Linked DNA regions of Canis lupus familiaris. The protein of the gene in region 2 purifies or fractionates together with the protein of the main gene of each other region. This does not show direct contact. Links are inferred from orthologs where the notes say so. Each region holds a gene or a part of one and is shown on either strand. Other genes may lie near its edges. The genes, in order: VAPA and PITPNM3.

The links.
Region 1: the proteins of PITPNM3 (region 2) and VAPA purify together in Homo sapiens (co-immunoprecipitation; 3 studies listed by BioGRID and IntAct, with this or other methods). This does not show direct contact. The link is inferred for Canis lupus familiaris from reciprocal best matches to the Homo sapiens genes PITPNM3 and VAPA.

The regions. Positions count from the first base shown.
Region 1 is NC_049228.1:75,932,750-75,937,349, reverse strand, and holds the start of VAPA (vesicle-associated membrane protein-associated protein A), read right to left. Parts: upstream 2,866-4,600; 5' UTR 2,851-2,865; coding exon 2,774-2,850; intron 1,266-2,773; coding exon 1,234-1,265; intron 1-1,233. UniProt on the Homo sapiens protein: Endoplasmic reticulum (ER)-anchored protein that mediates the formation of contact sites between the ER and endosomes via interaction with FFAT motif-containing proteins such as STARD3 or WDR44.
Region 2 is NC_049226.1:30,970,024-30,974,604, reverse strand, and holds the start of PITPNM3 (membrane-associated phosphatidylinositol transfer protein 3), read right to left. Parts: upstream 2,814-4,581; 5' UTR 2,720-2,813; coding exon 2,608-2,719; intron 2,001-2,607; coding exon 1,905-2,000; intron 1-1,904. UniProt on the Homo sapiens protein: Catalyzes the transfer of phosphatidylinositol and phosphatidylcholine between membranes (in vitro). Binds calcium ions.

The DNA.
Region 1 (4,600 bases), on a different chromosome or scaffold from region 2:
TTCAACACTGGCCTGAAAAAGGAAGGCGGTGACCAACTTGGACGGCAAGAATCAAGGACTTCACAAAAGGAAAGGATTCTTGAACTGGAGACTGCTTGACAGATATGAGGGAGAACAATATTCGGGACAGAGCATGTGCAAAGCCTTGCAACAGCTTGAAGTGTTGGGGAAAATGGTTTCATGTAACCAAAGCTATGTGTAGAAGGGAATGGAGAGGCAGGCATTGGGTTTTGGACTTTTTCATCTACATACTGGGGAAATGTGCCAGCAGGTTCGATAACCCAAGGGAGCAATAGCATTGAAGTTTGCATTTACAAAGGATAGTTCTTAGCAGCAGTGTGGAAGAGAGGCTGAAGAGAGAGGGACACTAGTGAAAAGCAGGCCTGTCTACAGACTTGTAGTAGAAAAAAGGCAAGCGATAATGACCTAAAATAATTACCCAAAGCCCACCCAGATCCCTCCCTAAGTAATACATCCATATAACCAAAATCTACTAGTTACTTTGCATTAATCTCTTTAAAGGACCTAAACACATTTAACACACCAGATGAGACCAGGACCCTCCTCCTATCGCTCTCCCACACGCCCCCAAGTAAAACACACGTGGTCCTCATTCAAATAAATACCAGTGTTTCTTTTTTTAGCACAGCCCAGGACACCATCATTCCTCCAGTTACATACGCCAGAAATCTCAAAGACATCCAACACACCTCTACTCTGCAGGAGCGTTATCCAATATAGACCACCAAGTCTCACTGGCTTGACCCTCTAACTTTTCACCATCTCCAATACCTCAGACCAAGTTGTCACCTCTTGCCTGAACTAAAAAAACTGCCTAATCTCTATCTTCTAATATTACTTCATGTTGTTACCAGAATTATGGAAATTGTTTTAGTACAAATTTGAGTTATCACTACATTCCCCCCACTCTACCATTCCCCCCACTTATAATCCCTGTGAGATAAAAACAAAATTCCTTAGTCAACCTAGAAACCAGCACCACACTCATGAGATTACTTTAACATTAAATGTTTCAGGTTCCCTCCTGCCACAGGATCTTTGTAAATACATGCAGCGCCTACTGCAGTTTTCTTTCCTTTTCACCTAGGAAACTTCTCATTCTTAGAAAATCTTAGTCCAATTGTGTCTTCCCTGAGCAGATCAAAGTCCTCAATTTTATGTTTTCATAGCCCTACACACCTCTTCAGAGCTACAGTTCCTTTTGCTGATTACCTGACTGGTGTCTCTCTCTCCGACTGGGACTGCTGCATGAAAAACAAAGATAGTGTTTTATTCAAAACTGTACTTCTAACACTTACTCAATACTTCTACATTGCAGAAATTCAAATCTTTATTGTATAATTAAATGAATTAAAATGAATAAATTTAAAAGCAGAGTTGTTTTAAAGGAGACAGATTCAAAAATTATCTCTGGGATGTAGAAATACAGATTTTAATTAGCAGATATACAGAGTATTTCTAATATAAATAATCACGATGCCACCAAAAAATTAAAAATATGGAAGACAAGTAAGCTTGGGTTATAAAAAAAAAAAAAATCCATCTGGGATATACCAAGTTTGAAATGTCTGAGTCAAGGGGTGCTTGGGTGGCTCAGTCGGTTTAGTATCTGACTCTTAATTTTGGCTCAGGTCATCATCTCAGGGTTGTGAGACCAAACCTCATGTGGGGTTTCTAGCCTGTTTAAGACTCTCTCTCCCCTTCTGTCCCATACTCCCCCAAAAACTGAGTCAAAATTCAAATCCAGATAGTCAGCAAGCAATTCTAAAACTGACTCTGTAAAGTCTTAATTAAAATACAAATTTGAGTGTGAACCAACAGGTGCAAAGATAGAGCAAGAGAAGGTGAAGCCATCAAAAACCAGGAGACTGAAGAAGCAAAGTTCACAGAGATAAAAAACCAAATCAGAATCTCAGAAATATTAGCAATTAAGAAAAAGCCCATAAATGAGACAATAAAGAGAGCAAAAAAGAAAATTAGAAGACAATTACATAGAAGTCAAAAGAATTGTTTTTAAAAAGAGGAACTGTTAATAATGTAAAGTGCCACAGAGATATGAATTGGAAATGATCAATGCGATCAGCAAGCAATAAGCAGTGAGGACAGAATACTACAGGGGACAAGAGGTGAGAAACTAAACTAAACAGTGCACACGGACAATTTTTCCAATAAGTCTGACTGCAAAAGAAATGAGGGGCAGGGAGGGACATATACCAGAAGGAGTTGGGAGTCAAGTACTTTGTTTATTTGCTTTTACAATGAAAGACTTATGTGTACTTGTATGTTTAAAGGAAGAAGCCGGTGGTTGAAAACATGAGAGGGAAAATATCTGAGGGAACATGGTCTAAGTATGAGTCATGAGGGATTTTACCTTAACCAACAAAAACAGCAGAACAAACAAGCTTGGATAGGAGAAGGGTTTTTCTTTCTTGGGGGCGGGGGGGGGGGGGGAGTGGAGTATAGATGTGTAAAGATGCAACAGGTGTTAAAAGAGAAGACAGCACATCATGGAAGACCGTAAATACCACACTAAAAAAAAAATATATATATATATATATATATATTTATCTATTTTTGATCCAATAGATTTGGATCCAGTGGGCAATCAAGAGCTACTTGAGAGCTTTTAAGGAATGGAGTAATAAGATGTCATCTGTGGCCCAGAGAAGGGGGAAATCACCCTAGGGATCCGATGAAGCCACTGTGAAATAAGAGCTGATCTGAAAGACCTAAAAATATGCCAAATATCTACCAAGAGTAGAAGAACTCTACATCCTCACTTGTACTTCTCAGTATTATGTTGCTATTCAAAGATGTTCTGGCTGACATCACAGGTTTCTTGGTTCCTCAGAGAGCTTAATTTTCTTTATTCGCTTGATTTTGTTATGGGCCACCTTTAACAGAATGGTTCTGGTCTATTTTCCTTTCTCTGATTACTAGGAGGAAGAATACATTCACATTTTATTTTAGCATTTTCTAAATTTCCTTCTTCCAACTTTTCTCCAAAACCACTAGTAGGCAGGAAAAATATAATATAATACAATGGAAAAAAATGCTGTAATAGTAAAACTATAACAGCACAAAGAAACCATCTCTCAGATATAATATCAAATTTCACATCTGAATTCTAGGTCAAATTACTGACAGTGTTTAAACAAAATTTGGTAATACCTACCTCTTTTTCTTTACTAATCCGACAAAAGAGCTACCTTAGAATTCATTACACCATTATAAAAGCACCTTCATAGGTTAACAACTGTATAAAACAAAATTTTTAATAAAATAGAGATATTAGAAAAATGTATTAAACTGGTATATGTTTCTCCATAATTGTGCAAAGTGCTGATAATTCCTATCAAGATGATTGCTATGCATATGACAGAAAAATTCACCACCTATTCTCAAAATGATTAAACGAGTCACTATTGGAGAAACGATCTCCGTCAAGTGTAGAGTTCAAAAGAATTCAAATAAGCCTACAAAAAAGATAAAGAATTTAGCAAACTATCCTTTAACACACTTAACTAAAAACTACAGATGATTTAGGGCAAGTCAGAATGAAATGACTATATATCATCATCAAACTAAGGATAAGGAGACTGTGGATTCTAAATAAGTCTCCTCACTTAGTGTTGAACTGTGCTTTGGAATATGGAGAGGTTTCCATCAAAGCAAATTATTTACCTTTGACTAGAAAAAGAACATTAGGAAGAAGGGAATCAAATGACATCAAAGGTCATCTCTCCTAATTCACCCTACCCCTCCTATTCCCCAATCCTCCCCATTATCCCACCCTGGAACAGAAAAGCACAGTTCAAACCACTAAGTATAAGCCACACATTCTCGGGGATCCTTGGGTGACTCAGTGGTTTAGCACCTGCCTTTGGCCCGGGGCTGATCCTGGAGTCCCAGGATCGGGATCGAGTCCCACATCGGGCTCCTGCATGGAGCCTGCTTTAAGAGAGAAAATAAATAAATAAGCCACACATTCTCTTACATCAGTAGTTGAGTAAACAACCACTCCCTTGCCCATCCCTTTCCCCCCACCCCCCAAATGAAAATAAGCCTCTTCCAAGAAACCTGGGGGTTTCTTCATACCAGTCCTGCCTCTGTTAATAGCACCTATGTGCCTTTGGTCTCCCTCACAAGTCTGAGTTCTTCAAGGACAAAGAAAAAACCTAACACGTTTCACTGTTTTACTGGACGCTTTCTCTATTAAACTACAAACTGTACATCTTTTCCCACCTTGTTTAGTACTGAATCCCCAAATATAATCTGATAACTGTTGAATTACTTAGTTGAATACTCTTAATTAAATATAGGGATGGCACAAAGCTTTCAGTAAGTGTTCACTAAGTGGCCCAACCAAATATGTCTTCATAAACTTTTCAGTGAAATACATTTTTAAAAGTCAATTTTAAAAAGTGGTCACTGATATCCAAACTTTTAAAAATGGTCATTGTGAATTATTTTCATTCATAACACAAGAAAAACTTGTTCCATAATCATGACTAATAACTCTTCAGTAACTAAAATAATGTAATATATGAACGTTATTGTATGGGTTCTGAGTTGTTTC
Region 2 (4,581 bases):
CCCAACTCCTCCATCAGGGTCGGTGGAGGCAACTGGCTGTCCTCGCGGGCAGGGGGCAGTGTCACACCACGGTCTCAGCTGGTGTTTCCCGGAGGACGGACGGTCCAGTGTGTCTCCTGTCTCTGCTGAGGTGTCTCTTCCCTTGTTTTATTTTCGGCAACTGTTGCTGCAGCTCACCCACTGGCCCGCTGTCTCCCTGTCCCCAGCCACGCGATGGCCCCTCCGTGAGGGCAGCGCCCACGATGCCCGCCCTGCAAGGGCAGCGCCTGCTCCCTGATGGGTGGACACCCAGTGAACATAGACAGTGGAGGGGGTGGTTTCAGCCCCGGCTCTGCCCAACCCCGAGTGACCCTGGACAAGCCTCCTAGTCCTCAGGGCTGTTCCCCAGCCTGGATGTGGGCGGCCAGACGAACTCAGCTTGGGCGTGGTAGGGGCTTGAGCCATGGGCCCCCCGATGCCCCCAGGTTTGGCCCCACTCTATACCCCACCCTCAGAGGCTGCACCGTGGCCCCCAGATCCCCTTGGACAACAGGAGGGACGCACCTCTCCTAGTTCTGAGGACCTGGACCCCATTGCCCAGCCCGCAGCACCCATGGGGGCACTGGCCATGTGGCCCACGGAGCTGCGTCCTGCCTGGGCGGCGTGGGGCGCACAGACTGCTCTGTACCCCTGCCAAGGCCCCCAAGCCGCCCACACACGAGGGGGATCCTGCCCCCTCCCCGGGGCCTAACCATCCCCCCTGTACATGGCAAGGGGCTCTCATCTTGCCAGGGAAACCCCCATATGAGGTGGGGTGTGCATGGGGGAGTCACGGGGGAAGGCTACAGGGGAGGTCATGGGGGAGGTCATGGGGGAAGGTCATGGGGAGGTCACAGGGGGGTCACAGGGGCAAGGTCATGGGGGGTGGTGGCAGGTGCAGAGGGAGGTGCAGCCTGTGGGGTAGGGGCAGGATGTGCCCACAGCTGCTGGAGGGAAGCAGGTGAGCAGGCCCTCAGCACTGCCCGTCACCTGCCATCCCCACCGTCCGGGAGCACCCACCCTGGTGAACTGCAAAATATTTGAAATAAAAGTGTTCTGAGCATCAAAATATTGACAGCACTGTTGTCACACTGTCAGCCGGTTGCCACGGAGAAGCAGCCCCACAGCCACTGCAGCCAGACACCCACGGGAGGCAGCACGTGAGGCCCAGCTGGGCCGGGGAGGGCTGGGGAGGCCTGGCACCCGGGCCCTGCTGCCCTGAGTTGGAGTCTTCCCCGTTTCCAGAGGTGCAGAGGTGACGGGGAACCCGAGGCACCGCAGAGGCCACGTCCCCAGGGTCCCGCTCAGGCACAGTCTGTCTGCCTTTCAAGACCCTGTTCGGCCAGGTGTTTCAGAGCTGCCGCCCCAGGAGCGAGCAGATGCCTGGACGTGGTGACTTCCCGGGGCGGGGCCGGACGGGCAGTGAGGACCGGCCCTGGGTACAGAGGAGGCCTCAGTGCATCTCGTCCCCGCCCACTCAGGCCGGGCAAGCGTGGCCGTGGGGACTCTCCCTCGGACATTGTGGGCAGACCTGCCGCCCACCGGCACCGCCTCCTTTCCTCGCCTCCATCCCCACGTCCCCCCAGGGCCTGGTCACCAGCTCTGTTGGCACCTGGGCCATTGCACTGGGTGGTGTTGCTTCCCCTGCGGGAGCCTGTCTTCCTCCAAGTCCCGCCTGGTCCCCCTCTCCCCCAAACCCCAAGCCCGCAGAGGATGGTGCCCATGCCCCACGGCCGACGAGAAAGGCAGAGCCCCTGCCCTGGGGATGCACGGGTCGGTACATGTGAGTGTGGGACATGGTGCGAGTGTGGGACGTGGTGGCCCCAGGAGAGACGCCAATGCTCATCAGGGATCCCTCTAATGATGGGGCGAGGGCATTCACTTACCTCTGGCATCAAAGAATTCATCGTCAGAGCTCTCCACCGAGTCGCTGAGGACAGTTCGAAGGTGCCAGGGGGCACCACCACCTGGGGGAGGACCACCTGCCAAGGGGAACACACTCATTAGCCAGGCCTGAGCCCGTGTCCCTGCGTGAGGCCCCACGTGGCCGAGACCAAGGCCAGCCTTCCCAACCCCATCGGCGCCCCATGCCTCGCTAACCAGCCAGACACTGTGCTTGCATTCAGGCTCCAGCTCCTCCAACAGGAGGGAATGAGCGCTCCCCAAAACCGAAACTGGAGGCCATCAAGAGGCCCCCAAGGTGGCCCGGGGCCAGAACGCACAGTGGGCCGTGCTGCGTGGACACAGGGTGTCAGCCAGTGGGAAGGGGCTCTGTCCACAGTGGCCACTCAGCCACCTGCTGATGTGAGACATCCAGGTGGGCAGGACAGGCCCCATGGCCCAGGATGTCACACCGGGCCCAGAACACGTCTTCCCACAGGCAACGTGCTTCTGTGTGTTTCCCCGTTGCAGGCAGGCGACAGGCCCTGCCCAAGGCCATCGGGAGGGCGAAGGGGCCGACACAACTGCGTGTGCAGGCCTGGACGGCGGCCTCGGCAGAGACACAGGCCCCAGTGTGTGTGTGTGGGGGGGGAGCCTGCCTGAGCTCCACTTGCGCCCCGTCCTCTTTCCACAGCCTTGGCTCCCCACCTACAGTGCCCACCGCAGTCCGCCCTGAGCTCCAAGGATCCGTGTCAGCCTCTTGGGGGGCCTGGGGCGGCCACTGCTGGATCACCCGAACCATCCACAGAAGCCAGGCCATGGCATCGGACCTCCTCAGGGCCCTGGATGGAACCAGCCGGTGCCCAGGGCACCCTCCACTGGGCAGAGCCACGAAGGGCTGGAGATGGCAGGTGGGCGAAAACCTGTCAATGCTGAAACCACAAAGGTGCTGGGGGGATGCTCCCAAGAAGCTCACAATCGACAGTTGACCATTGAGCCCTGGCAACACCAGGGCCTGGATGACACCCCAGCATCTGTGATGCAAGGGCTCCCCATGTGTGGATGTGGCCACATTGCAAAAACACAGGGGACTCGGGCGGCTGCTGCTTAAGAGCTCAGGGCTGAGGACAAACAGGATCCCAGCTCAGCCCTCATCCCCAAGAAGCTGTGCACCGGCAGGTGAGCCCCCCGCCCCTCTGCTCCTCAGGGCCCCGGCTGTGAGGTGAGGACATGCATACCCACCTCGGGAGCCTGAAAACCTCAAACCAAGGCCTCGGTGTGCTCACCAGCACATTTTTTCACACATTAACATCTTTAAAACCAGAGCATGTCTTGGGGCACCCAGGGGGCTCAGCAGTTGAGAATCTGCCTTTGGCTCAGGGCGTGACCCCAGGGTCCTGGCATCGAGTCCTGCATCGGGCTCCCCAGAGGGAGCCGCTTCTCCCCCTGCCTCTGTGCTGGCTCTTTCAAATAAATAAATAAAATCTTAAAGAAAATATAAAAACCAACTCGGAGCATGTCTTACATAACAGCACATCGTAGTTCATGGCTGGTCCTTGGGTTACACGAGCTTGAGCTGCACAAGTCCACTTACACACGGTCCTTTCGATAAACACAGGTGTTTTTCCTCTCAGTAGACTTCCTTACGTGTTTCTTAATAACATTTTCTTTTCTTTGGCCTGACCCACAGCGACTACAGCACATAGTGCATACGACACGCACGACACAGACTCATTGGCTCTTTATGCTCCTGGTGAGGCTCTGGCTGATGGTGGACAACAACCAGTGAGATTCTGGGGAGTCAGCAGTCATCTGTGGGTTTTTGACCATGCAGAAGTCAGCACCCCAGGCGCCCATGGAGTTCGGGGCTCAGCTATAAATGGTTTTGCTTATTCTTCCTCGGGGTTTATAAAATAATCATGTATCTTAGGCATTGGCTGCACCTTAGATTGTATGGAAAACAGTATGACCGTCAGGCACACGGAGCTTGCCATTGCTGAGGTGTCAGCCCCGACCAGCAGGCACACGTCTCGTTTCTGTGCCTCAGTTTCCCCATAGGCACAATGAGGAACCTGACAGAGAACCTCCCTTTTCGATTCTGGCTGGTGTTGGGGAACCTGTCCGCACATGCAGCAGATGCCAACGCACAAGTGAGAGGTGTGTGCTCTCCCTGGGCATGGCTATGGGGACACAGATAGCCCCAGGGAGCCCGCAGCAGCCCCGCTCCCCTGCAGGACCTGGCATGGGTCCCTGCCCTGAGCCCAGAGCCTGGAGCACACACTGTTCTGTTCCTGAAGGGCAAGGTCAGCCCTGTTGGCCCAGGGACAGCACCTCCCACCCATTCCCTCCACCTGCCCGACCCCTTCACCACCTGACCCCCCACCCAACCCACCACAAACTCCCCAACACACACCCTTCCTGTTCCCAGGCCCTGGATTTACTGCCAACTCATGAACACACACTGTGGCTGGGAGCCAGGCCAGAAGCTCGTCCCAAAGCCCAGAAGTGACCTATAGGTGCGACACTGGGTCTGACCCATATTCCCCATGGGGAACCCTAGACACTCTTGATTCTGGTCACTCACTGTGGGCAGTGTGGCAGACTGGTCCAGGCCCTGGATTGACTGCAAGGATGCGCCAACACTGAGCATTTTTAACATGGAAGTGGGCCTGGTGCCCTGAT